Linked DNA regions of Drosophila melanogaster. Changing the gene in region 3 together with the main gene of any one other region gives a genetic interaction. Each region holds a gene or a part of one and is shown on either strand. Other genes may lie near its edges.

What was found. A genetic interaction does not mean that the proteins touch.
Region 1: of ct (region 3) and Topors, changing one suppresses a phenotype caused by changing the other (phenotypic suppression), as found in Drosophila melanogaster (one study listed by BioGRID).
Region 2: of ct (region 3) and peb, changing one suppresses a phenotype caused by changing the other (phenotypic suppression), as found in Drosophila melanogaster (one study listed by BioGRID).

Annotation. Positions count from the first base shown.
Region 1 is NT_033778.4:18,968,972-18,978,611, forward strand, and holds Topors (topoisomerase I-interacting protein), read left to right. Parts: upstream 1-3,640; 5' UTR 3,641-3,967; exon of another isoform or gene 3,968-4,026; 5' UTR 4,027-4,355; coding exon 4,356-4,751; intron 4,752-4,811; coding exon 4,812-5,272; intron 5,273-5,339; coding exon 5,340-6,754; intron 6,755-6,921; coding exon 6,922-7,766; 3' UTR 7,767-8,291; downstream 8,292-9,640. Other genes in the region: prod (proliferation disrupter), read right to left, coding at 864-1,096, 1,163-1,757, 1,825-2,037; CG15107 (uncharacterized protein), read right to left, coding at 2,620-2,804, 2,858-3,215, 3,274-3,462; CG18605 (uncharacterized protein), read left to right, coding at 8,857-8,969, 9,045-9,640. UniProt on the Drosophila melanogaster protein: Functions as a ubiquitin-protein E3 ligase. Negatively regulates the transcriptional repressor hairy/hry by promoting its ubiquitination and subsequent degradation. Also directs the nuclear organization of the gypsy chromatin insulator.
Region 2 is NC_004354.4:4,613,827-4,621,412, reverse strand, and holds the start of peb (pebbled), read right to left. Parts: upstream 3,850-7,586; 5' UTR 3,350-3,849; intron 1,444-3,349; exon of another isoform or gene 1,439-1,443; 5' UTR 1,420-1,438; coding exon 553-1,419; intron 262-552; coding exon 1-261.
Region 3 is NC_004354.4:7,606,191-7,613,733, reverse strand, and holds the start of ct (cut), read right to left. Parts: upstream 4,587-7,543; 5' UTR 4,319-4,586; coding exon 4,196-4,318; intron 1-4,195. UniProt on the Drosophila melanogaster protein: Regulator of cell fate decisions in multiple lineages. Specifically, functions as a determination factor that specifies sensory organ identity in precursor cells. Probably also involved in cell type specification of Malpighian tubules.

The DNA.
Region 1 (9,640 bases), on a different chromosome or scaffold from region 3:
TTCCCTCAAACGCTCCACCTTGGTCTTCGGTAATTTATGATTCGCAGCGCACGGCCCGCAAATGATCTATTGCCCATTGCAGTTATCCAAGCGGAGTAGGTGGAGCAGGGAGCAGCCGAGGACTTTGGATCGGCACTTGTTGCATCAGCATCGGGCGACCATAACAGCCACAAGTGATTTCTTTCGCATCGATGCCTCCAGGCGCTGCTGACAGTTACAAAGTGCGCCCACTAGTTGGCGGTCAGGTTAAAATGACCCAAACTAAAAGCCAAAGCGAAGCCGAGCCACAATGCATATACGCGTTGTCGACGCCATCTCCCTAGCTTTGATTAATGGACTTTTCGTGTTGGCTTCGATTCTGGCCACGGCGTCATAAATAAACTCTAAAAATGCAACAACAGGCAAAAGGTGGAGCACGTCTGTGCGGCGCATATTTATCATTGGTAAACTTTATTCTTAACATTTACATACAACGCGTTAAAATTACTTGTCCAATTGTTTTTCACTTTAGATATTACAATTTTATGCCTATTTCATATATATGGATATCGTAGATGAAGTGCTTGAAAAGTTGAAAATAACTGTTTACACAATAGAATTCTATGTCAATTTTAAACTAGTCAATTTAAATCTGGCTACTATAAGTTACAGTTTTGTGTGTGTTCCGGCGGAGCGCAGGACTTGGAGAGCTAGAAAACGTTCGAGTGCCAAAGAGCACATTCGTAAAAGACCTATACAATTCGAGCTGACTTGACTCGTTCCATTGCTTTTGCTAATGCTGATCCTTTCGCCGTGGCTTCTGCTGGTGCTGGAGTTTTTGCCGACTGCTTAGACCCACTGATCTCGCCCTGCCGCTTGGGACACTATAAGGACGGCGGATCGTACTGGAAGCCCGGGTTGTTGAACTTGAAGCGCGCAATCTCAAATTGCAGTGTCTCGAATTTGATGTCGGCCAGTCGCTTCAGCTGGTGCGCGATCTGCTGGGCATCGCTGCTGCTCAGCGCGCTTGTCAGCGAACTGGGTTCCCGCTCCAGCTTTGTACTGTGCAGCGGCGGCACGGCCTGCATGTTTGAAATGCAACGCGGCGCATTTTTAACTGAAAGATATGGAAAAACGTGATGTTAACTGCTTAAACTTAAGCAAAGTAAAACGGCATAGTTACCTTCGTAGATAATTTGCTCCCTGGGCTGTGTGCGCATCCGCTTGACGGGCAGCTCGCCGTTGATCAGCTTATTGCCGGAGGAGGCTGTGCCCGGATTGATGACGGGGGCAGCAGGCCTGCGGGATGTGACGTACTCGACGGCGTGCGGCTGCACCGTTTGGGGATCCTCCTCGACATGCTCGAAGGATGTGTTGTCCACGACGATGGTGCGATAGGTGCCGCCACCCGTATTGACCGCCGTTGTGGACGCGGTGATGCCGGTCTCCGCCAGATTCTCCTCCATCATGTCCTCGTGATCGACATGCTCCTCCACCATCTCCTCCTCGTCCACCTCATCGTTGATTGCCTCTTCAACGGCTGCCTGAAGTTCCTTTTGAAATGCCACCGAAGTACGCTGGCCCAGTTCCTCCATCTCGTCGTCGTGCTCATCCTTTTCGGACTTCAGATTGAGCATCGTTTCGCCGCCGGTGGTGGGCACCTTGCCAAAGAGATCGAGAGCGCGCGTCTCCACGGAGGTCATCGAGATGTCCTTTTCCGTGGACAGAAGGCTGCGTCTGTACTTGCAGCGAGTGGTGTTCTTCCAATCGTTTAGGCGCTGTATGTGGAGCAGGAAATTCGCGATTAGAGGTAACATTATTTGGGTGATGTAGTGGTACTCGTACCTTGCGCCACTCCTCCGGCGTCAGTGTGGGTCCGGAGCTGCACTTGTTTAGCCGGTCGGAGAGCTCCTTCCACTTTTTGGTCAAGTAGTTCAGGTCATAGTCGCGCGGCACTCGTCCGGTGGCGAAAATGGGGTCGCTCTCCATCATGTCGATGTACATTTGGTACTGCTCCGATGAGGTGCGTTTCTTGCGGCGGTCCATCTTGCCGTTCATCCGGGTATCCTTGCTCTGTGCCTGCGTGCTCGATGCCGTGTTTAAATAGCTGGCAAAAGCCCTAAAATGCAAATCGACGCCACCAAGCGATGCGAGATGTTCACAAACAATTTACGCATTTAGCGTTTGGGATTTTCTAGTTGCATTTTGTTGCTGTTGGCGCAGGGTTGCATTCGGCACGCCAGTGGTGCGCATCTGGCGGGAAGCCAAAAAAGCAATTAGATGCCATGCGATAGTTATGGCTAGATGTGCAATAAATAATTCAATTTTGTTGCAATAAAAACATGCGGATTCAGAAATGATTTGTCACAATATTTATTAGCGGTTTCATATAAATCAATAATACATTTCAAAATATATGTGCAAAAAGTATTTCGTCGAACGATATGCATAACAACAGTCTTAAAAACGACTAATTGGTATATGGTACACACTACTCAAGAATTTGTTTTCAACGAATGCCTACTGTACTACTTATTGAGCGTTCCGCGGCTTTTAATTCGAGGCGAAATCAGCAGGTCCCTCTGAGCTCACATATTATATTACATTATACATTATATCAATGTGCATGGCTAGCATGGGCTATAATTCCGGAACGTACTCGAATCCGGGATTATTGTACTTGAAGCGGGCTATCTTAAAGTGCAGCGATGCCTCGTGTATGTCCGAAATGCGTTTCAGCTGCTCCTGGATTTTCTCTCCATAGAAGGCAGACGGTTCTTTCGCGGCAGATTGATCAGATGTGACATCCGCGACTGAAATCAAGGCTATGTCCCTTTATAGGATATTTAGTATTTACATTAGATTTGCGTCTACCCACCTTCGTAGATAATCTCACTGGAACCATCGAGCCTTAGCTTTTTCGCGGCACTGTGACCATTGATGATCGTTGGGTTGGCTTGCTCGTGAGGCTCTGCTATGAACTGCTGGTACTGCACCTCCTCCTCCTCCTCCTCATCCACCAACTCCTCCAGGTTCTCATTCTCTTCTTCATCCAGTTCCTCTTGCTCCTCCATCAGTTCGTGCAGGCGCATCGAAATTCCCTCGCGAAAATTCGGTTCTAAGGAGAAGATCTGCAGGGCTCTGTTCTCCAGAGGAGTCATTGCATTGCTCTTGTCATCCGAGTTGATGCTGCGTCGGTATTTGGAGCGCGTGCTGTTCTTCCAGTCGTTGAGGCGCTATAAGCATGACACACTGTGGGCTTGTACACTCGATACCCAACTGGTTACAACATACCTTTCGCCATTCCTCGGGCGACAAAGTGGGACCCGTGGAGCACTTGTTTAGCAGATCGCTGAGCTCCTTCCACTTCTTGCCGTCCTGGGTGCGACTCAGTTTGTTGGCCGACATCGGGGGATTCTCCTCCATGAAGTCTAGGTATACTTCGTATTGGTAGTACGACGTCCGCTTGTTGCGTCGATTCATTTTGGGGATCCAAATTATGACCAACAATTGAAAACAAACAAATTGAAACAGACGCCACAAAAAGGCAATAAAGCAACGAGCTATCGATAACACAAACAATTAAGGCTCCGAAATTAAATACCAAAACCGAAATACCAAACTATTTTAGAAAATATCAAAATAATTGTTTGGTTCTCCTAGGTTCGAAAAGAAGTTTCTTGGAATTTGTAATTTACCCGCGCCACAATCTCACAAGATTGTGTAATACATCTAAAAATATTTATTTTTCTCAAAATATCACATTTCAATTTATAAAATAAATTGGTCTAGTTCTTTAAGCATTTTTTGTGTATTTCGTAATTTTTGTAACAAAGCTAGTCCTGCTTTTTCAATCAAGTTCAATCAGAGGGTAGAACAGCTAGTAGAACCGCTGACTCAACATATTTTCCAAACCTTTTTTATTTAAAATTTGTATTCTGAAGTAATTCAAAAGTATATCAATCTCCGTGGTCTGCAGCATTTAACTGTACGCGACGAACGGTATCACCGTAGTGGTCAAAAAAATCAAGTTTCCTGCATTTTCAGGTGTAAAATTAACTGAGATATAGTGCGATTTCTGGCCCGAAAATTGTGCTATTTTACAGAACAGGCCACTGACCACCACATAGACCGCAAGAGAATACGGATAATGCGTCCCCTAGCCCGGAAAAGGCCGCTGGAAAACGAGGATTGAGAACCGAATTGCGAACCAGATGATAGAGTAGCGTGCCAGCCAGCGAGTGCGAGCGAGAGAGGGCGAGAGGAGCAGAGTGAGAGAGAGAGGAGGACAGAGTAGACACAAAACTTCAGGCCCGAGTTCTCGCCCATCTTACGGCCGATTTTACAGCCCATATAGCCGCTATATAGTCGCCAGAATGGCGGAGGAGAATCCCGGAGCTCTTGCCGCCAACGTGCCCTATTTGGGAGTGGATGAGTTGGGCGCATCGGTGATTGTGGAGCCTGGTTTGGAAGGATCCAATGCCGGAGGCCGGACGCTACCGGCTGCGGCCATTAAGTTTGCTGATCTCACCGAGAGCGGCAGTGAGTCGGGAGACAACGAGGCCGAGGAACCTGTATCCGCTGGCCCGGATAATGCCAACGCCATCGGTGAGCCGGGCACCAGTGCATCCGCCGCGGAGGAGAACGGAACAGTAGAGCGCAACTCGCCGCCGCCCAATTGCGCCATCTGCTTGTCCCGCTGCAGGAGGAAGTGCTTCACGGACTCGTGCATGCACCAGTTCTGCTTCAAGTGCCTGTGCGAGTGGAGCAAGGTAACCAGTCCGCAGGCGAGTAAACCATTATTTTAACCATCTAATTATTCTCGATTGCAGATAAAGCCCGAGTGTCCACTGTGTAAGCAGCCCTTCAGAACCATCATACACAATGTCCGCACCCTGGACGACTACGATCGCTACCCGGTGCAGACTACGTCGCCGGTTCCAACAGAAAATCCCTCCCTACGTTACCACATTGTGAGGCGTCCCAGGTACACGCCGCTGGTGCAGAACCAGGCCGTCATTGTCAACGACATCGAGGCGGCCATAGCGGCAGGAGCTGCTGGTGAAGATGTGCTTTCGGCGGCAGAAGTAGCAGCTGGCAGGCGATCGTACAGCCGCTTTGAGCCGTATCGCTCGGAGCTGATGAATTACTACCAGCACGATCAGGATGCATCCACGTCGGGTTCATTGAGCCAGCTCTGGCGACGTTATGTGTACGATAGAAAGCTGTATGCTCTGCCCGTCAGCGACAGCGTGACTGGACACTTTCGAGAGTGGAGCGCCCGTTTTTACAGGTCTGTTCGTATACCTAAAACCGCATACTTAACCATACTGATTTCGATTTCAAATCCTTGCTTATAGAAACAATCCTGCTCAGATTCATCGCCTGATGCCTTGGATCCATCGCGACATCATGTGCCTACTGAGGAATGCCGCACATAGCGTAAATACTGTGATGACTCTGATGAGCGACCTCCTGCCCATGACTAGCTTACTAGGTCCTACATTCCGTCGACGGCTGTCGCCGTATCTCGGCGAGCGCACCAGTCACTTTATCCACGAACTGTTTAACTTTGCCCGCTCCCCGTATGACATAAACGGTTACGATCATGTGGTGCAGTATTCGGCACGAGTGGCTGAGGAGGTGGAGGTGGATCTGTTGGACATGGTGGAGACACAATCCTCGAACGGTGATGATCTGAATTTGGAGGTCGGAGATAGCGATGCGGATGCTATAAACGCTGGCTTCTCTCCGGATTGGAGCCCCCCTAGGGTACGCCCGTCGACCAGTGTGATTGTGACCAATCCTGGTGCCACACATTCCTTCAGCGTGACAATGGCCAGTGATGGCAGTGAGCTGCCGGGGATTTCCATACGCCGTACAACCAATGTGGGCTCACAAACGGTTGCCATTAACCTGAGCATGAGGCGCCCAGCGGCGGTTGCCAGCGAGGAACCAGAGGTCATCGAGATCGACGACGGCGATGCGGCCGCAAATGCAGAGGTGGCGGCCATCAATGATGGCAGCAACACCAGTAGGAGACACGCAGGTGCTACTCTTCCAGTGACGGCGCACATCGAACTGGAGAGCAGCAGCAGTTCCGGCGATGAGGATGAGTGCGTCTTTGTGCTGGAGCTGAAGCCACCACACATGCGCACTCCCGAACAGGTGAGCCTTGACTCAAATAGTGACTCCGATGTGGTGTTCGTAAATGAGCAGCACGAAGCTGCGCCGGACGCAATTGCCGAAAACCGGTCGACACAATCCCCTTTGGATCTGGCCTCCAGGGATCAGGGCCTGTTTATGGGGCCCAGCACAAGTGGCGCAGCGGCCAACAGAGGCAAGAACTGGAAGCTGGTCATGGCGCAGACACGGCGCCTCGATCAGTTGCGCACGCTGCGCTCTATACGTTCGAAGAAATCACGCCGTTCATCCATGCCTGCCCGCAGTGACAGTGGCAGCAGCCCCAGCAGCTGCAGCAGCTCCTCCTTTCACTTCAGCAGCAGCAGCGATGAGGATAGCAGTGACAGTAGTACCACCAACTCCGAGCCACCCAAGAAAAAGTCACGCAAGCGAGTGGCGAATAATAAGCGCTCTAAAAAGGAGTCAATCGGGAAAAGGACATCTCGTAAACGGAAGGCCAAAGACCAGAATATGGAAATGCTTGAGCAGCAGCAGATAAGCCAAAAGAAGCCCCAGCGCCAACCGGAAAGCAGCAGTGACAGTCCAAGTTCGTCCGATGACGAGTCAGGTGGCGATAGCAGCGAGTCATCCGGTAAGTGGTTTGTGAATCTAGACGGTTCTTATCAGCATGTATGAATGTATGTATAACACCACACATTCTGAACAGGAAAACACTAGAATGATCTCTAAAAACAATCAAAAAACTATTTATTATCCTATCAGATCAAACTTGTATAATTACACAAATTTGTTTTCTAGGTCAACCCAACACGAACAACAACAAATCCAGCAGCGATTCCGATGATGATAGCGCTGTAAACATGCAGCTCAGTGCCTTGCGCGCCACACTAAAAGCGGAGGCAACTCTGGAGGATAGGAAACCTGTAAAACTGGAGCTTCAGTTGCCGGATGACGACCAGGCGGGGCCCCTCCACTCACGGATGACTCCATCGCCGAGAGAGGATAACGAACCGGGTTGCAGTGCACCGAAACGGCGACGCAGTTGCAGCCACAGCAATCAGTCCAGCCAGAGTGCCAGTTTGGCCAGCAGTTCGACAGCCACCTCGAGCTCGGCTCCATTAAGTTCGTTTGCCTGGGGAGCAGCGGGCTTTTCCGGCGATCCGCTGATGCGCGGACATCCGGCGATGGAAGAGCACGACATAGCCAACTCCCTAATCGAACTGTCCACTCTAACGCAGCCTGTGAACATCGGACTCTTCAACGAGCATTATAATTCGGCAGAGAATTCCATGGGCATGCTGAGCAACACGTTGTGCGACAGCCCACAAACTTTGGCGGCGGATGACGCCAATCTAGAGAACTATTTCGATACAGATGCGGATCCGGAGGCCAGCCGTGAACGGGATGCCTATTCGCTGGAGGCCGCAATCGATGTAGTTGGCGAATCAGAGTTGCAAATCGCCGAGGATACAGCCACTGCCACCGAAGAACAAGATGAGGAGGACGAAGAGGATGAAGATCAAGAGGAAGACGACCAGGAAGAGGAAAAAGCTGCGGAGGAAGAAGAGGAAGAGGAGGAGGACGACGATGATAGCGACAACCACGATGAAAACGATGAGAATCAGGGACTACTGCCGTATTAAGCATAAGCCACTGATTTAGATTTTCATTTAAGTTGCTAGTGTAAGGGAATGTTTAACTGGTTTCCGTCTTGTCTTGTTCCGATTCCTGAAATCCCCAAACCCCATAAAATAATATTTGTAATTGTAACTCATGTATTGTAGGCCTAAGATTGCCATTTTAAGTTGTACATACATATATAAACACCCATCCCAACATTATTTAAATGTTCTGTCATACATACATATACCACCCCCCCCCTTCCACATCAAAAGACGCATTCAATATCCCCCTGAAGAACATCGATTGTAAATGTATTCACGTAGGTTAGCGGCATCTATAACTAACTAACTATAAACAATGGCAACTAACTTTACTATCGTAGCTTTTAAATCGTAGAATTAGCGCTGATCAATGTATGAGGAGGGTGTTAATGTTTTTTGCATAAGTGGGCGTGGCCAGTTATGAATTTTAGTGTACTCAACATACAATGAACAAAAGATATCTGTAATACGAATCAAATACATAATAAATGTAAAGATTAAATTAAAGATAAATAAGTGTCATTTCATATTTCGTAAAGTTCTAAAAGTAATTCTCATTGGATCAAGGATGCCCCCCGGCATAGGCACCTTGCGCATTTTTTTTTTTGTTAAATTTATGCATATTTTGTTTCAATTCAATGTTTCCAGTGATTTCAGAGTATATTCGATTTCCGATGTCCCGATTTGTCACGATTTGCAGGTTAATTTATGGCATTGTCTAAACAGTCCCTTACTTTCCACACTTGACATTAGGCATCGTGTAGATGCGCCCCAAATAAAAACGTGCCACAGAGCCGTTGTGCCTGCGCAATAAGCAAAACTTTTTCGCTGAGTTTCAATTGGAATTGTTTAAAGAACGAGCTAATTGTTTAATTCCTATAAGGTAAATACTGTATCATATTGCACAGCTGGAAAAGTTCCATTTCGCGAGCGACAGTGAGCAGTGAAATCAGTATTAAATCGAATTTGTGATTGACAATTCCAGGAATTTTCGTTCACGTGTAAAGTTTCTGTTTCTGTTTTTTCTTCGAACAATTTCGACATTGTCGACACGTGGAGTGCAGCAACAATGATGCCACGGCACATGGTCCAATGGCGCATATATGTCTACGCCAATTCGCTATATTCTCTGCCGGATCGTGAAACGGGCGACTTTCGCGGCTGGTCCCCCGAATATTTCCGGTGAGTGAAAATTTCCTCCTCCAATACAAATAAGGGAAATTTCAGCCATGTTCTCATTTCTGCATTTCCTTGTAGTCTCAATCCCTTCGAGGTTCATAGGGTAATGATGTGGGTGAACCGCGATGTATCGGTGCTGATCAGGACCAGGAAGGCGGATATTTTCTATCTGTACGAGACCATCAAGAATCTGCTTCCACGTCTTAAGCTGGACAGCGAGGAGTTCCGAAAGCCCATGATCCACTTTTTTGGCGCCAATACGGACCTTTTCATCCACGAACTGATCAACTTTGCCCGTTCCCCGTACGACACTCTAATGGCCTATGAGTGCAGCACACAGTACCGGGCCTTGTTGGATTTTGATAATGGTCCTACTACGTCGGCGAAGTCCAGGGATCGCGAGTTTTTGTCGACGAGACTGCACAGCTTTGTAGAATTTACGCGCCGCATCAACTACGACGATTGCGGTGGCTTTGAGGCGGATCTGGAGCTGGAGGATGAGGATTTCGGCGAGCTCGACGATATGATGATGGAGCGCTATGGTGGTGCTCCGTTCTTGATGAAGATGGACGGACAGCTGGTGACAGCCCGAATCATACCGAGCTCACAAGCTAATGCACCTAACCAGGGTCAGGTGAATCAACAAACTCAATCCCAGGCCCAGGCTCAGGCCC
Region 2 (7,586 bases), 3.0 Mb from region 3:
GGCGGGATTCTGCTGCTGCTGCGACGGCTGATGTTGCTGCTGCTGACGGCGCTGCTGCTGCGACTGTTGCTGCTGCTGCAGCGACTGCTGCTGCTGCGACTGCGACTGCGACTGCGCAACTTGATGCTGTTTGTGGGTGCGCATGTGACGGTGCATGTTGCCATTGGTGGTGAACGTCAGGTGGCAGTAGCGGCAGTTAAAGGGACGCTCGCCCGTGTGAACCAGCACGTGTCTGTCCAGGGATGAAGCCGAGGATAGCACCTGTTTATAGTTTCAATTTGGATGGTGGGAGAAACGAAGAACAGGTGAGTGAGTAATCAGGCGATCAGGGGTTAATAACCTACGGCTAGCTCTTCTAAGTCCTAGCACATCTGTCTATTCATCAATTTAAAGCAGTAGTTCATCTCAACTACTCGAAACTAACTTGCTTTCAAAGCAATATTGAAAGTCTTCGTTTGAGATTTGAACGCTTCTTTCGATATTCCTTAAATCTATATCTAATCTAATGAAAAACAAAGGGTGCACACAATTTGAGTGACCACAATGACTCACCTTGGAGCAAATGCGGCAGGTGAAGTTCTCCGTATCGCCATTGGCGTAATTGTGGCACCGGATGTGGTTGGTGAACTCGTGCGGCGTGGCTGAGACCACCTCACAGATTGGGCAAAGGTATTTCATATGCTCGTCGCCGGCTCCGATGCCTGATTCACCGCTGGAGAGGCACTGTCCCTGGGGCGAGGAGCCACCGGATCCGCCACTGCTGCTGCCGCTGCTGCTGGATGCTGCGTTGATCGCTGCTCCGCCGACTGGAGATGGAGCCACTGCGCTAGCACCAATACCACTGGTCGCAGTAGTGTTCGTAGCGCTGCTACTGTTACCCAGATAGCCACTGTGGCCAGTGGTGCTGCTGGCGTCCACGAATCCCGATTCCGAGAGACTGGCCGCCGAGCGATTCAGACGAAATTTCTTGCGCAGCGAACTGGCATCGCCACTGCTGTAGTCCATCACAATGGATGCCTGTGTGGTGGCGCCACCACTGCGACGCTGCTTGTGCCGTCCCAGATTCCTTGAGCCCAAGGCGGCCACCTGGTCGCCATCCTCCTCGTCCTCATCCTCCTCCGCCTCCGCCTCCGCCACGTCTTCATCACTCAGCAGATCCGACTGCTGGTGATGCTGCTGCTGCTGATGGTGATTCAATTGCAAATGGCGAATTTTGCGCTTGCGCGAAGATGTCACCGTAGCCAGCTCATGTGGCGTGGATGTGGTCTGTGTAGAGCCACTGTTACCGCCCAGTTTTTTGGGCGTACGTCCCAGATCCAGATGCTCCAGCGAGGACTCCGATGTGGTGGAGTCCCGTCGCTGGCGCTCCATTTCCGATTCCACTGTGCTGTTGTTGTGCTGTTGCTGTGCGGCGAGCATTTTTCCAACGGCTAGTTAACTGTGCTGATTTAGAAGATTCGAGAGAAAAAGAAGAAAGGACTTTTAGAGATGGGTATAGATAAAGCACGTGTAATAAGAACTCTATCGAAAAATCGAAGCACTTGAACAAGTGTTGACACTAATTAGATAACTCGAAGACAAAAGAAGTGTATCAAATATACTAAACACTTATAATCGCAAGTATTTTTATTACTTTTTGTCCAACCCCACCAAAGTTTTGCAACACTCGCTGATTCAAAAATGTAATTACTAGCTTTATGAAAGTCTGAAGATGGAAAGAAATCACGCGTAAACAAATGATATCCACACTGACAGCGTTCCATTCTGTAAACTGGGTGTAGGGTTCAATTAATAACAGAAAATCGATAGTGGGGCACCCTGCATTCTCCAGTCTTCGATTGTCGCGTAATACTAAACTAAATCTTGAGTAACGTAAACAGCTGATTCAGGCAAGTAAACAATGCAACGGAAAGATGAAAAAACAGAAGCGGAAAAGCTATTTGAAATCGAGTTCCTGTGAAGAGCGAATAAGAAGAATTGGCGACTGTTGCAAGTGCATCCGCAGAAAGGTGCGAAGAATTGAATTCAATACACATCTGGCAATGCTGCTCTTATCAAGAATTTCGGTGTGTGGGTGAAAAATGTGGGTACACTCATTAGCATTTACCGTTATCAAGGCTATGACTATGAGCGGTGTCCCAGTTGTTGTCGTTGTTGTTGTTTCTTTGGGTGGTAGTGGATCGATTTGAAAATCCTAACTTCCCCCCGAAAGGCAACAAAAATAAAGAAACTCTGAAACCTCAGAGGCTGATCAAAAATTTCTACCGATAACGAGCCCACTGTTCGCTATATATACATACACACATGCATACATCCAGTCATATACACATATAATTTTTTCGGTAAATGTGTGTTAGTTGTTTGTTGTCCATTGGCTTTCGGTTTGGCCTTTCATTTTGGTTGGCTGATTTCAATTTCGTTGTCCATGAGTCATGAAAAGTCATTGAGATAAAGATTCCCTCCCGAATATATACTTTTTGGGGCGGGGAATTGTTGGGCGGTTTTCACACCTTTATGACCCTTGGGAATTATCAATGAACACAACTTGGTCAGTGAAAAAACAAATTTCTAATCGCCATCTAACGGAATCAAGCCGAGTGAAGTGAACCGTTTGACATGGAGCACAACCCCTGCGATATTAAACAGATCATCAATCTGAATTAAACCCTATAAACGTCGCCTCATCATCCCTGACCACGGAAATTTCTGGCTTTTCGGACTGGACTGTCTGTGTGTGCGTGGTGTGTCAAAGTTCAAGGGTTTTAGCATCGGTCATGGGTAATTTTTTGACCCGGCTAATTGCAGGCAGAACTTGACCCAAAACACCAAGGGAGGGGTTTTGGGAATGGACTTGAATTGAAATGTTTTCAAACATTGTGATCGTAGGAAAATAATTTTATATAAACATTTTCCTTTTGATTTAATCGGAATATAATGAATTTGGATCATTAAATTATTTTAACGATTTACGGAAGAATTAAACTGGCATATATATTTTCATTACTTCATCTTTTTTAAATAATATTTCTAATATCTAAGTCGATTTTAAAACACTGCTGCACTTCAATTGCATTTAAAAATTGCATTTCAAATGTGTTTGAAAACTAAGCTTTTAAATTTTATTTTAAAACGGTTGTGCTAATTTTAAATTCAACAATTTTTGTTCTTAACAATTTAACACAAAAATGTTAGCTTAGCTGAAGACCCAATAACTTTTCCAATTTCATCCTTTTGATAATCCATGTTTTCTGCGCTCGATTATTTATCCAAAGCAACAACAAATTGTTCACGCACAAATCACAGAAACAACATAAAAAAAAATCCAAAACAATCACTGTTAAAAAATTACCTTAGTGGATATTTAGTTGTGAAATTGTGTTCAACAGTTGCGACGGCATTCCAACTCCGGATTTCGCACTGTTTTAGGCTTGGTTCCCGTTGAAAAATGATTTTTGGTGGCTTTTTGGTGTTTTGTGTTTTATGTTTAGTGTGTAGGTTTTTTTTTTAATTCTTGTCAGATAACTTAATTCAGATAGCACTTATTTTTTGGTTCACTTAATATTTTTCACACTTCTTTGGCCTTAAAGCTTAGTATTCCAAAAATTCCCAATGGTTTGTCGTTTAAAAAAAAAACGTGAAAAAAATATGCAGTTTGCGTTTGATATTTCTTTGTAGGCTTAGAATTGAGAAATTCTGTTTATGTTTTATTATATTTTTATTTTCTACAAGTTAGTTATTTGATTTGTCTGCTTTTGAGTTGGTTTCTTGAAGCGCCGCGCACGAGTTTTGTATCTTATTCTCAGCGCAGCCGCAGCGCAACCGATTCGGCAGATGAAAATCGACTGATGTTGTATTTATAAAGTTGTATTTATAAATACAACGGCTGCGCTGCGCTGCCGCCGGCGGCGTCGCTGTCCGCGAGAGCGAGAGCGTAAAATTTGAAATGAAAAGAGAAAAGAGAGAAGAGAGAAGCAGTCTGGTTTTTCTCATTTTTTTTTCAACGGAGGCAGCGCAGCTTGGATTTTCTTTCCTTCTCATTCTTCGTTTCAAATTTGTCTTCTTCTTTTTCTTTATTTGGCGCAAATAGGATTACACATTGGGTGCGTGTGTGTGTGTGTGGAAGAGCGAGAGGGCCGTACTCATCTTTCATTGGAATTGGAAATTACAGTGGACACTTGACAACTGGAAATGGGATGCACGATACTAGATCTGAGCGTAGAAGAAGTATATCTAATCGAAGATGCATTATTTGTGTAGTATTTCCTTCTTTTAATATTTATGGAATACTTCAGTTTGACCTAGGACTTTAAACCAAAGTCACCATTTTTTTCAATAACTAGAAAAAAGTATTAATATCGGCAAAATAAATACTTCGGGAAATGAGTCTGAAATCTTGTTAAAAAATGAAACAAAATCAACGGATGTAGGATAGAAATGTGCCAGACTACCAAATCTCCAATTGTCAACTTTTTCTGCCTTCTATACGAGTGATCACTGTATGTAGCACCCACATACACATATGCATATGTCTGGATGCATTTTGGATTTTTGGGCAAATCCCGTTGCCATTGGCCACGCTGGCCATGTTTGTTGCCCTTTCTGTCGCACTTCATCTAGCGATGAGCACATCCAGATCTTCGTGTACATATGCCCATACATATGTATGTATGTATGTATGTATGTATGTATGTACATACATATGTGCTCATCCATAGCTGTGAACATCCCCATCCGTGTATCCGTATCCATTAACCCCCGAGCGGATACTTCCTGGCCAGTTTCTCAACCTTAACCTCTAGCTGTGCCCAGAACGGAAGTCGGAGACGATCGAGTCTCTTTTCGGTCCCTCTTTTCACCTTTCACCTTTTCAGGGTGCGTCATACAGCAATCAAGCAGCATTGAAATTAACATTAATGCACCGAAAGAAATGTCATGTAGCTGCCCGTAGTTCTGCGATTCTTTGGGGATAGCGTTCTCCAAATATAAAGGCTCTTTTTCCATGCTCTTCGATACTCATAGGTGTTTAGGTACCGTCGAGAGGTCAATTTTAAATAGTGTCAGCTGCCGAAAGAATGTACATATGTATGTATGTAAATTAGGTGACCAGCAACCCTTCAGCATCTCATCCAAAAATCGATGCATTCGATCGATTCTCCACTCAAAGAAAAATAATGCAAAACAATTGTAACAACAGAGGTAAAAATAAAAATAAATGAGCACAATAATACAACGCAAGCAAAAGCAGAAAAAAAGGCGGCGAAATTGTGCAAAAAATGCAGCAAGAGTTCAATACACTCGCCCACTCACACACACAGACACAAACACGCGCCCCTACGCACACACACACATACACACACACTAGAAGGCACAGCGACACGTGCAACGCGCTGTTTGTACACAATTTAATAATATTTACGTTTTGTTTATAATGAACTTGAAAAATTCGCACAGTGGTTCAGCGATTAAAAACTATAGCTCACTCAAAAGTGACAAAATTATGTTGTAATCATACAAATTTTTCAGAGATCTTAATATTATTAATATATAATTATCTTATTTTCGGAATTCAGTGTCGAAAAGAATGCAAATTTCCATCGAAAGCGATTGGAAAACTTAGTCGCTTGCGTCACTGTCTTTTTGAGTTGGTTGCGCATGCGCGTGGGTGGCACAATAAATACAATAAATACAAGAAATACAATAAGCACAGTAACAACAGCAACAACAATGACAGCCAACGCCAAGCACAATTACAACAATATAATGATGGTAATGGCAATGCGTGTTAAATATACATTAAAAGCCAGCCAGATATGATATGCATTGCATTTTTGCCATATGCAAACAGCTGAGAAACCAAACCAAAGTGTTTCAGTTTCGGTTTCGTTTTCAGTTTCTGTATCAATTTCCCTTTTTTTCAATTTTTCCGTTTTCAATGGAGACGGAAAGTGTTGGCGTTGCAAATAGTAGCAGTCGACGCAGAAGAAGAAGCAGCGGCAGAAAGGGGCAACATTAACATTTAATTGCCAACATTTAGTTAGCATTTAGCTTAGCATAAAACAAATAGCAAACAATGCTGCCAACTGAAAATCCCACGCGCTGCTCTTCAACATTGAAAACTCCACCTCCCCCCCCCCCCCCCCACCTCACACACCCTTCACAACACTGCTCCACATAATATTGCGCTCTTTATCACTTAGTAACTTGGTTGTGGGTATATTTTACAGAGCGAGAAAAGTAACGACATTCTGCCGAAACAATTTTACAAAAACTAGATGATTCTTGTTGAAGCCCGGCAATAAATTGATCATATTTTGAATTGTCTTACCTGCCTTGTAGTTTGCAGCTTAAAATTTGCTCAGTGTAACCGGGCTGCAATGCCTGAAATTCGCTTTCGTTTTGGGATTATTATTTGCAAAAGCAAAGCCAGCGCCATTAATCGTTTTAATTCGCACTCGTTTGCCAGCGAATTTGTTATTGTTTTTATTGTTGTTACTGTTGTCACCAGTGATATGTCAAGGTGACTGGGCACCCGCCGCCACCCAATTCCGCCCACAGAAAACAGTCACCCACCTGATAAAGGTTATTGAAAAGGCGCGCGTCGCCTATTTTTTTGTTATTTTTTGTTTCTCAAATTTTATATGATTTTCTGCTTTGCCTAAACTTTGCACCCCCGCCACGAACGAAAGCAAAAAAAGTAAAATCAACGGCAAAAGAACAATAACAATATGACCAGCCAAACAGCTTGTTTAATAACAACAATAACGGCAACAACAAATGTAGAATAATAGTGCAGAAAACAGGGTTTACGTAGTGCGAAGGCGGCTAATACCCTGGCTTATACTTAAATATTTTATAAAATGCTTTAACTTTTGCTTTGTTCTACAAGAGAAATGCTCAATCGCATGGAATTTCGAACGTTTTTTTTTTTTTTTGTGTAAACATATGTATTTATCTTGCAATTGAGAATATGCCCCTGGAATAAAAAAAAAACGAGGTATTCGCGACTTGTGGCCAAACAAATGCCGTTAGCTGGTAGAATGCGTCAGTTCACAGTTTGCTTTTCGGTGAATTTCCCCCCCAACTTGTGTGTTGTGTTTGGTGTTACGTGTATGTGTGTTTATTGCCACAGACACAAACTATAAATCCATACAAATATACTAAAATATATACATAAATGTGTGTGTGACACAACAAGTGGGCAAAGCTTTTCCCATTCAATGGGGCAGTTGTAAGCCGATTGAATTTGGCGGAAAATGTTCGAATCACTGGATTTAGGAAATTTCGTATCAAATCATTGTTGAATTATCATTTTTTAAGAACTCAAAACGTCACGCTGATATGGTGCTGCATATCAGTCGTTTAAGTACAAAACAGGTAATGATGACGGTGTCCTATCATATTGTATGTACATACATATGTATAATTAATATCAATTGCTATTTTAAAAGAGATTTCCCTCATACATTCTTCTACTAACTTGGCTAATATTGCATTTATGACCCAACCATTCATGGCACTGCGACGACACCCGAACCTCAGACATTGTCTGCACAGGAGCTAAGCTCGTTAGAAACCAATTGACTTTG
Region 3 (7,543 bases):
TCGGTTCGTTCGTCTAGATGCGGAATTAATGATGCAATGACAATTGATGCACACCACGCAAAGCGCATTTAGCATTTATGATATTTATGCTCAATTAGTGTCGCTGTTTGCCGTGTGGCGATTTAGCTGGAGATCCATTCCCCGATCCCCTCCCATTTTCCCACTTATATGATAGTGTGAAGTTTCAGTTTGATTTGATGGCAGCAAGCTGAGTTACATCAGGTTAGCTGAAAGACGACTAATATGTACATATGTACTTATTTTAGTGCTTACTATGAGTATATAAAGTATCAGGGTGGTTTAATAGGTATTTATTCGTTTGATAACCACAAGCTGATCTCCTTGCGATTTAGATTGGCGTATTGGTTTTAAAAAATGCCCAAACACACAACCCACATACTTTGAAAAGCCCACTTTAGTGCTGTGTAAAATTTCAATTGATTAAGATGACTGCAAGCTGAGTTACTTCAGGTCATTGCATAGCTCGATGCTTTATTCGATTGAAAATCAGCTAATTACGGCCTAAACATATCAGATGGGAAATTTGAAGTGCGTTTGATGGTTAGTTAGTTCCCAAGTTACATGAGGACACTCCATTCGACCGGCTTCAATTAGCTTCAATGGCTATTCATAATTAATGCCATAAACCGGAAAGAGAGGGAAATAGCAAATAATCATAATAAAAATTGATCGAGCACACACAGATACAGATACACATATGTTGGCATAGACGGACGGGACGGACACACATAGTTCATGAACTCAATTTTTAATAATAATTTCCAAATGATTTTTTATTTCACATTATTAGTTGCGTGGTAGTTCAGATCGAGTTCGAGTTCTCGGGTTCAGATCGCCATCTCCACCCACCCACCACAAGCTTTTAATTGTTCGATTTTCATTTCGATTCGTCTCGTTTCGTTTCGTTCGGTTCGTATAGTATAGTATAGTATGGTATAGTATAGTATCGTTTCGATTCGTTCGTCGCATTTTGTTATAGATACTATGTATGTGTACCGATGTGGATGTGATGGACATTTCGGTTTCTGTTTTTGCTGCTGCTGCTGCCGATGCCGCTTCTGTTTTAATTTCCGTGCTGACAAATTAATTTAATTATATTAACATATCTTTCCAGCGATCGAACGATTGAACTGACTGAAATATTTTCATATACCATGCGTGTGTGTCTACATACATATGTATGCATCTGTGTGCTGTGTGGGTGGTTGAATTCGGTCTGTGATTCTTGGTATAACCCCTTTTTCAAACACCCCCCCCCCCCCATTCATCCACGTTTCGGTTTCTGTGACTCATTAGCTGGCTTCTCTGCCAGAGAGCGAGTAAATTGCACTTAAAACGCTAAAAATTATACGACACACGCCGCCGCTCAGTCCACCGATCTGATCTCTATCTGTATACTGTATCTGGCAATATGGTATCTATGGTTTGGTATAGCATGGTATGATATCGTATATGTGTACAAGGTATCCGTGTGCTTCCAAGGGCTTAAGGGACAACCCTTGGCTGCTCATTTTCGGCATATGCAAATGCCGGGACGCCATCTTTGAAAATTAAACTTTATAAACTATCAATGCTCGTCCCCGGTATTCCGCATTTCGTATTTTATATCCGTATCTGCATCTGTGATGGTGCTATGGTGGTGGTGACTACCCTATAAACCGGTTTCAATTCGATTAAAACGGAACCCAAACTCGATTTACTCTCATCTTTTCAATTCAACTTTTCTATTTTTTTTTTTTTAATATTTTTTAAGTCAGCAAATGCATTTGGCAATTAGTTCGGTTTTGTTGTCTTTCCATTTCCATCTTTTTTTTTTCTAGTTTGAATCAGCACAAATCAATGACAAAAACCTCATCTTTCATCTAGTTTTCGGTTTATGGTTTTTCGGATTTCGGTAATTGTAGAAGCTAAACAAAAAATCTGTTCGATGTTAATGGGTCAAGTTTATAGATTGCATTACGGAAATTAATTTTGCTCTTTTTAACTTTTGGTTCTTCTTTGGCTTCTGCTTTTTGTTCTTGCACTTGTTTTTTTTTTCAATTTTTTGTGATCGTTTTTTCGGTGCCACCGTTCTATATATTTAATGACAAAACTTTGTGTTAATCAAGCACATTTTTATTGTTGCTTTTTCGAATTCGATTTGTGTCAATTTTTTCGCGCGCGCTCTGTTCTTGAAATGTAAATAAATAAATAAGTGAAATACTATAAAAATTGTTTTATCAACTCATTTGGACAGCTGTAGACGTCTGTCTGCGGTTTGTTTAATTTATTTAATAAGCTTCTATTTTTGGTTGGCAAATTTAGTTATGTTGAATAACCTTTTTTTCTGCCGCAGAGAAATGGTATTTATGGATCGAGTTCTAATTTTGTTTTGTTGATCAGCATGCGAAGGCATGACGAAACCTTTCAAATATTGATTCATTGATCACAATCGATCATTGGTTGAGGGATCTTGAAAGTTATAGAAGACTTGAAGCTTTTGAAAGCCATTAAATGATCGTTAGGAAAGAGGAAAAAAGAACCCAAAACAGTGGCGCCTTTAGATGGGGTTTTGTGTTTTCGTTTAGGCCGCCAACACTATGCTCTATCACTATGTACATATCTAACATTTAAATATAACAAGCAAATGCATTTAATTAAATAAAAACCGGTTCTATTTGAGATCAGCAAAGCCCCATTCATAAAATCCTGTGTACACCACTGACTTCAAGTAATCCTAACGAGTTCTGCGGCTTCTCATCTTTTTGCCTTTGTTGTGGTTCTCCGGAAAAAGTCGATAGGATAGCTTTTGGTTTTGCTTATTTAAGTTTTATTGATTGCAGTTTGCATCGCCATATCTTGTACAAAAATATTTGTGGAGCGGGAAAAAACGCCATTCACCGACGGCAAATGTCTAGATTTTCCGGGAATTTTTCCATGTCTGTCTTTCACTGTGCGCGTCTCTCGCTTTTCACGATCAATCGAAGAAGAAACTCCAATTAAAAAATTTGCCCGGCTGTCGACGCAACCTAATTAACTTGCCAAACCATATAGAGAGTATTTTTATATATAGAAATATTCAAAAATATATACAGCAGTTGATATTTCCATGTCTGGTCTGGCAGATGATTTTCTTTTCCCCTTTTTGGCCTCTAATGTTATTTTGCCGCCTTATTTGTTCGGAGTCTGGCATTTGGCCAGCGAAATTCTCAGCATCGTCTGGCCCCCGCCTCCCGATTTTCCACGCCCCCTTTTACAGCGAAACCCCCATCTGAATTGTCTCTTCCGTCTGGCCGATCTTGTCTGGCTTTATCTTTTTCGGTTCACTGGTAGTAGAAAACAGAAAAAAAAACGCTTCAAAAAAAAAAAAAGTTATTCAAGCAATAAACTGTTCACTTATTACTTGCTTGTTGCACTTTGCATTTGTTGTTTTTGTTTTGTGCAAACAAATTTTTTTTCAGAAATCAATAATAGCAGAAAAAATAAATAAATTTACAACAAGAAATTAGACAACAATAACGGGCCAGCAACAATAAAAACACATTTGCCATAGACACGCAAACTCAATTAGTTAACTTAAGTTAAGTTAAGCAGTTTGCGGGGCCAAAATATGGGGGCTGTGTGGGGTTAAAGTGGGCGGCTGGGCGCACTAGGGTTATTGTTGTCAGCTGTGGGAGTTTCCAGTGAAATGCAACGAATATCACAGAACTCGGGAACTATTCACTGTTTAGTTACAATGATAATTGCAAATTTGTATATGACTTTTTAGTCTAATCAATGTATGGAAAGTTCTAATTTTAGCTTATAACGTTTTAAAGGCTTTCGGGCTTTTCGCGTTACGCTCCCTAAACTTTTCACTTTGAATACACAATACTGTATGAATCGAATTCATTTCATTCATATAAAGTTAGAAAACGCAAGTATCAAATTTTATGCTACATATAACAGGTGTAATTTCATCTTTTTGTTGACAAAAATAAGATACACCTTGCATGTAATATAAACGTAAGACTGTTTGTCAATGCGAATAAAAGTGAGAACAGAAGATAAAACACTTTTGCACCGAACATTTTACGAACCCGTAATCTCAGCTTGTTTGGCCAATTCATTGAACTATATTCATATTATTATTCTTGAAACACGAAACTTCTTGCTTTTAAGCACCGTTTTCCATCGTTTTGCTAACTTTTCTTACCTGTTGCCAAAACTGTGCCAATAAATAAATTTGCTCCTTTTTGAAAAACCAATCGTTGATTGATTGAACAGCCGTCAGATCCATATCGGCTGTCCCAGCGGCTTGTGGCAATGTTGGCTGCATTCGTGGGCTTTCTTGGGTTAATTCAATAATTCTCAGTCAGTTTTTGCTTAGGTTTTTTTGGGGTTTTCAGTTTTTGGATTCTACCAATTTGGGGCTAATAAGGCCTGGCATTATTCTGTTCTGTTGTCGTTTCGATTTTACTTGTTAGTTAGTTGTTATTTAATTCGGTTTTCGTTTTTAGTCATCACATTTACACCTTAAGTAGTATGTTTCTTGTTACGTGCTCAAAAAAATGCATAAATAAGCCAATTTCTGTGTGTTATTATTATTATTATTATGGTTATGTTATGTTTTATATTTTGTTCACTTTAGTTCCGAAAAAGAATTTTTTTTGATTTTTTTGGAAGGGGGTTTCTTCTTGTTGTTGTGTGGGGGATTTTGTTGTAGTCGTTTGTTGAATGGTGAGGGTATGATGTTGTTGTTTTGGTTGTTGCCTGTTGTTGTTGTGTGTGTGATTTTTTCAAGCCATTATCATTATGTTGTTGCTTTTTGGCTGTGGCTTATTTTGCACATGTTTGCTGTCGCTGTTGTTGCTTTTGATGTTGCTGTTGTTGTTTACACTTGACACTCATACACGCGCACATATTTTAGCGAACAAAAATGCACTTGAAAAAAATAATAAACAGTTATATTATACGTTCGTTTAGTCCTTTTTGATTTGTTTGGCTGTGTGCTGTTTTGTTTATAAATATGATCAATACGTTTCTTCTTCTTGGCAAGCGAGATTCATTCTTTTGCAATTATTTTTTTATGAATTTTTTGTATGAAGTGGGTGGGGGGATTCTTCTGCACACACACACACACGACGTACACACACAGTGAGAGAGAGGGGCACACACGCACACACACCCGCGCCGCGGCTAAGAAGAAGAAGCTGCACTGCCTTGTGGGGCAGTAGAATCCAAAAATCTTCTGAAATTCTCGATTTCTTTCGGCGACGGACGAACGAAACGACGTTGCCAGTCACGAATGCTGTTGATGACTGAACAAATCGAACGTTAACGAAGCGCCGACAACCCTCTGCCGCAGAGAGCGCCGACAGCGGCGTTGGCAGCGACAGAGGCGCCACAAACACACAACACACTCATGCAGCGCAACTCTCTCGCTCGCTCTCTCACGCTCCGCGCAAGAGAATCTCACTCAATTCCCGTGCACTGCTTTTGATTTCTTTCAATAGCTTTTTGATTTTCTCACTTTTTTTGCGCTTTCCTTCTCGGCTTTTTTTTTTACTCTTATTTTTGAGCATTTTTCTGCGCCGTCGCATGTCAGTTGCATGTATTGAAATTCATTCATTCACAGACACTTTGGCTAGTGCCCTCCCGCTCGCACATCGCTTTTCTTATTGGAAACGAAAGAGCCAGGCGCTCGCCTCTCTCCACTACTGCTTGTTGTTGTTGCTTATTGAGCGCAGGATTGAGTGCAACGTCGACTGTGACGCTGGCGGAGGGATTGAGATTGAGGATATTTCGGAAAGTTGTAATATTTTTTGGCTTTAGGGGGATTTACCTGGAATTCAAGTATTATTCTGAAACTGATAAGTTTTAAAGTTAAGAACTAAAGAACTAAAAGTTCCACGAGATAAGTCTTAGAATTAAAAGCAGCTGCTATATTCATCAAATGTTCGAACATAGTAAACAATAGTAGAAAGTGATGGAAATAAAAAAGTAAATACGAAGTGTAAATTAAGCTAAATGCAACAAACAATTCTATGTTTTGTTGTTTAATTTAATTTTTATGTTTTTTTTTAGAGGTAAATGTAACATTTAGAAACAATCTGTCCTTTCCAAATTTCCGCCACTTTATGATGCACCTTAAATTGCATTCCTAACTTAAGTCCCTTGGCTGGCTGTCTCTGTTCGGCTCTTCAAAAATCCATGGAATATTAAATTGGAGAGTAAGCCCCTTCTCAGCCTCCCGTTATTTTGTGTTTTTCCGCAAACCCCTGGAATTTGCAGTCCCGTTGCGGGATTTTCGCATAAAGAAAAGTTCAAATTGTATCGAAGCGCCAAGTGCAATGCAGACGCCCCCGACCCCCTTGGTATTCTCACTCCCTATTTTTCTACTAAACCCCATGATTTCTGCTGGGCGGGGAGGGGCGATGTGGTTGGGATTTTCCAAGGGGTTATGGCTTACACCTAAACTGAGACTGAGAACCCAAGTCGCAGTCGCAGATGCGTTGCTGCAGTCTGAGAGGAAAATCGGTTGAAAAGCGGTTAGGATTTGGGTGGAAAATTGTTGGTAAATGGGGTGTACGGGGAATATTGGGGGCTTGGATCTGCTCGGGGACTTCGTCGTCGGCTTGCAAAATAACGAAAATAACGGGAGAGCCGAGAGAAAGGGCAGCGCCAACTACACGAAGACAAAAAACGATGCTCGGTTCCGCCGTCGGCGTCGAAAAATGTACTCACCCCGAAAAAAATACTCATTTCATTTTATTGCTCCTAGTTTACCCCCAACTGCCAACCCACCCACAAAGGTGAGGGAATTTAGCCACACATTATTGGGGAAACCAATAAGGGATTTTTATATAATTTCGTTAATACATACATTATGCCATTATATACAAAAATGCAATATACAAGTATTCAATATATGGTTCTTACAAATTTAAAAAAATTATCACTGCATGTTATAATTATCATGAAAAAAAATGACTGATGAAATTCGTAAAAGTAATGAAGTACAAAGAAAGATTCGTTCTTAAAAATGACAAGACGAGAAATATTAAAATATACATACATACTATGCAATATTACAAATTATAAGTGCATTGAAGACCCCTACAAATCGCCCATATAGAAACAAGTGTCCGCCAACCAGCAGAATTCCAACTGGATTAAAAACGGCGGAATTCAAGAAACCACTCAATCCAAATACTCACAAGATATTCACTCACTCGCTCTCCTGTCTTTGAGTCGAAAATGCAAGGGGTTCGAACTCGTTTTCGAAATACTTTCGAACTTCCATCAAGACATCCAACTTATTAAAAGTTGATTACCTTACCTGTTCTATGTTATGTTTTATGTTTTTAAGCTATTTATGTTCTTGATTTGCTTTATAAATATCTATTATTGTTTGGATTTGCTAAACATACTGTAAATTTCCAGGACATTTAATAAAAATTCATTTTCATTGAAGAGGATGCAAGATGTTGACTCAGTTTCCGGTAGTAAGAATAGTTCTTATATTAATGGATAGATTTTTGGTTTAACCGGTTTTTTTTTA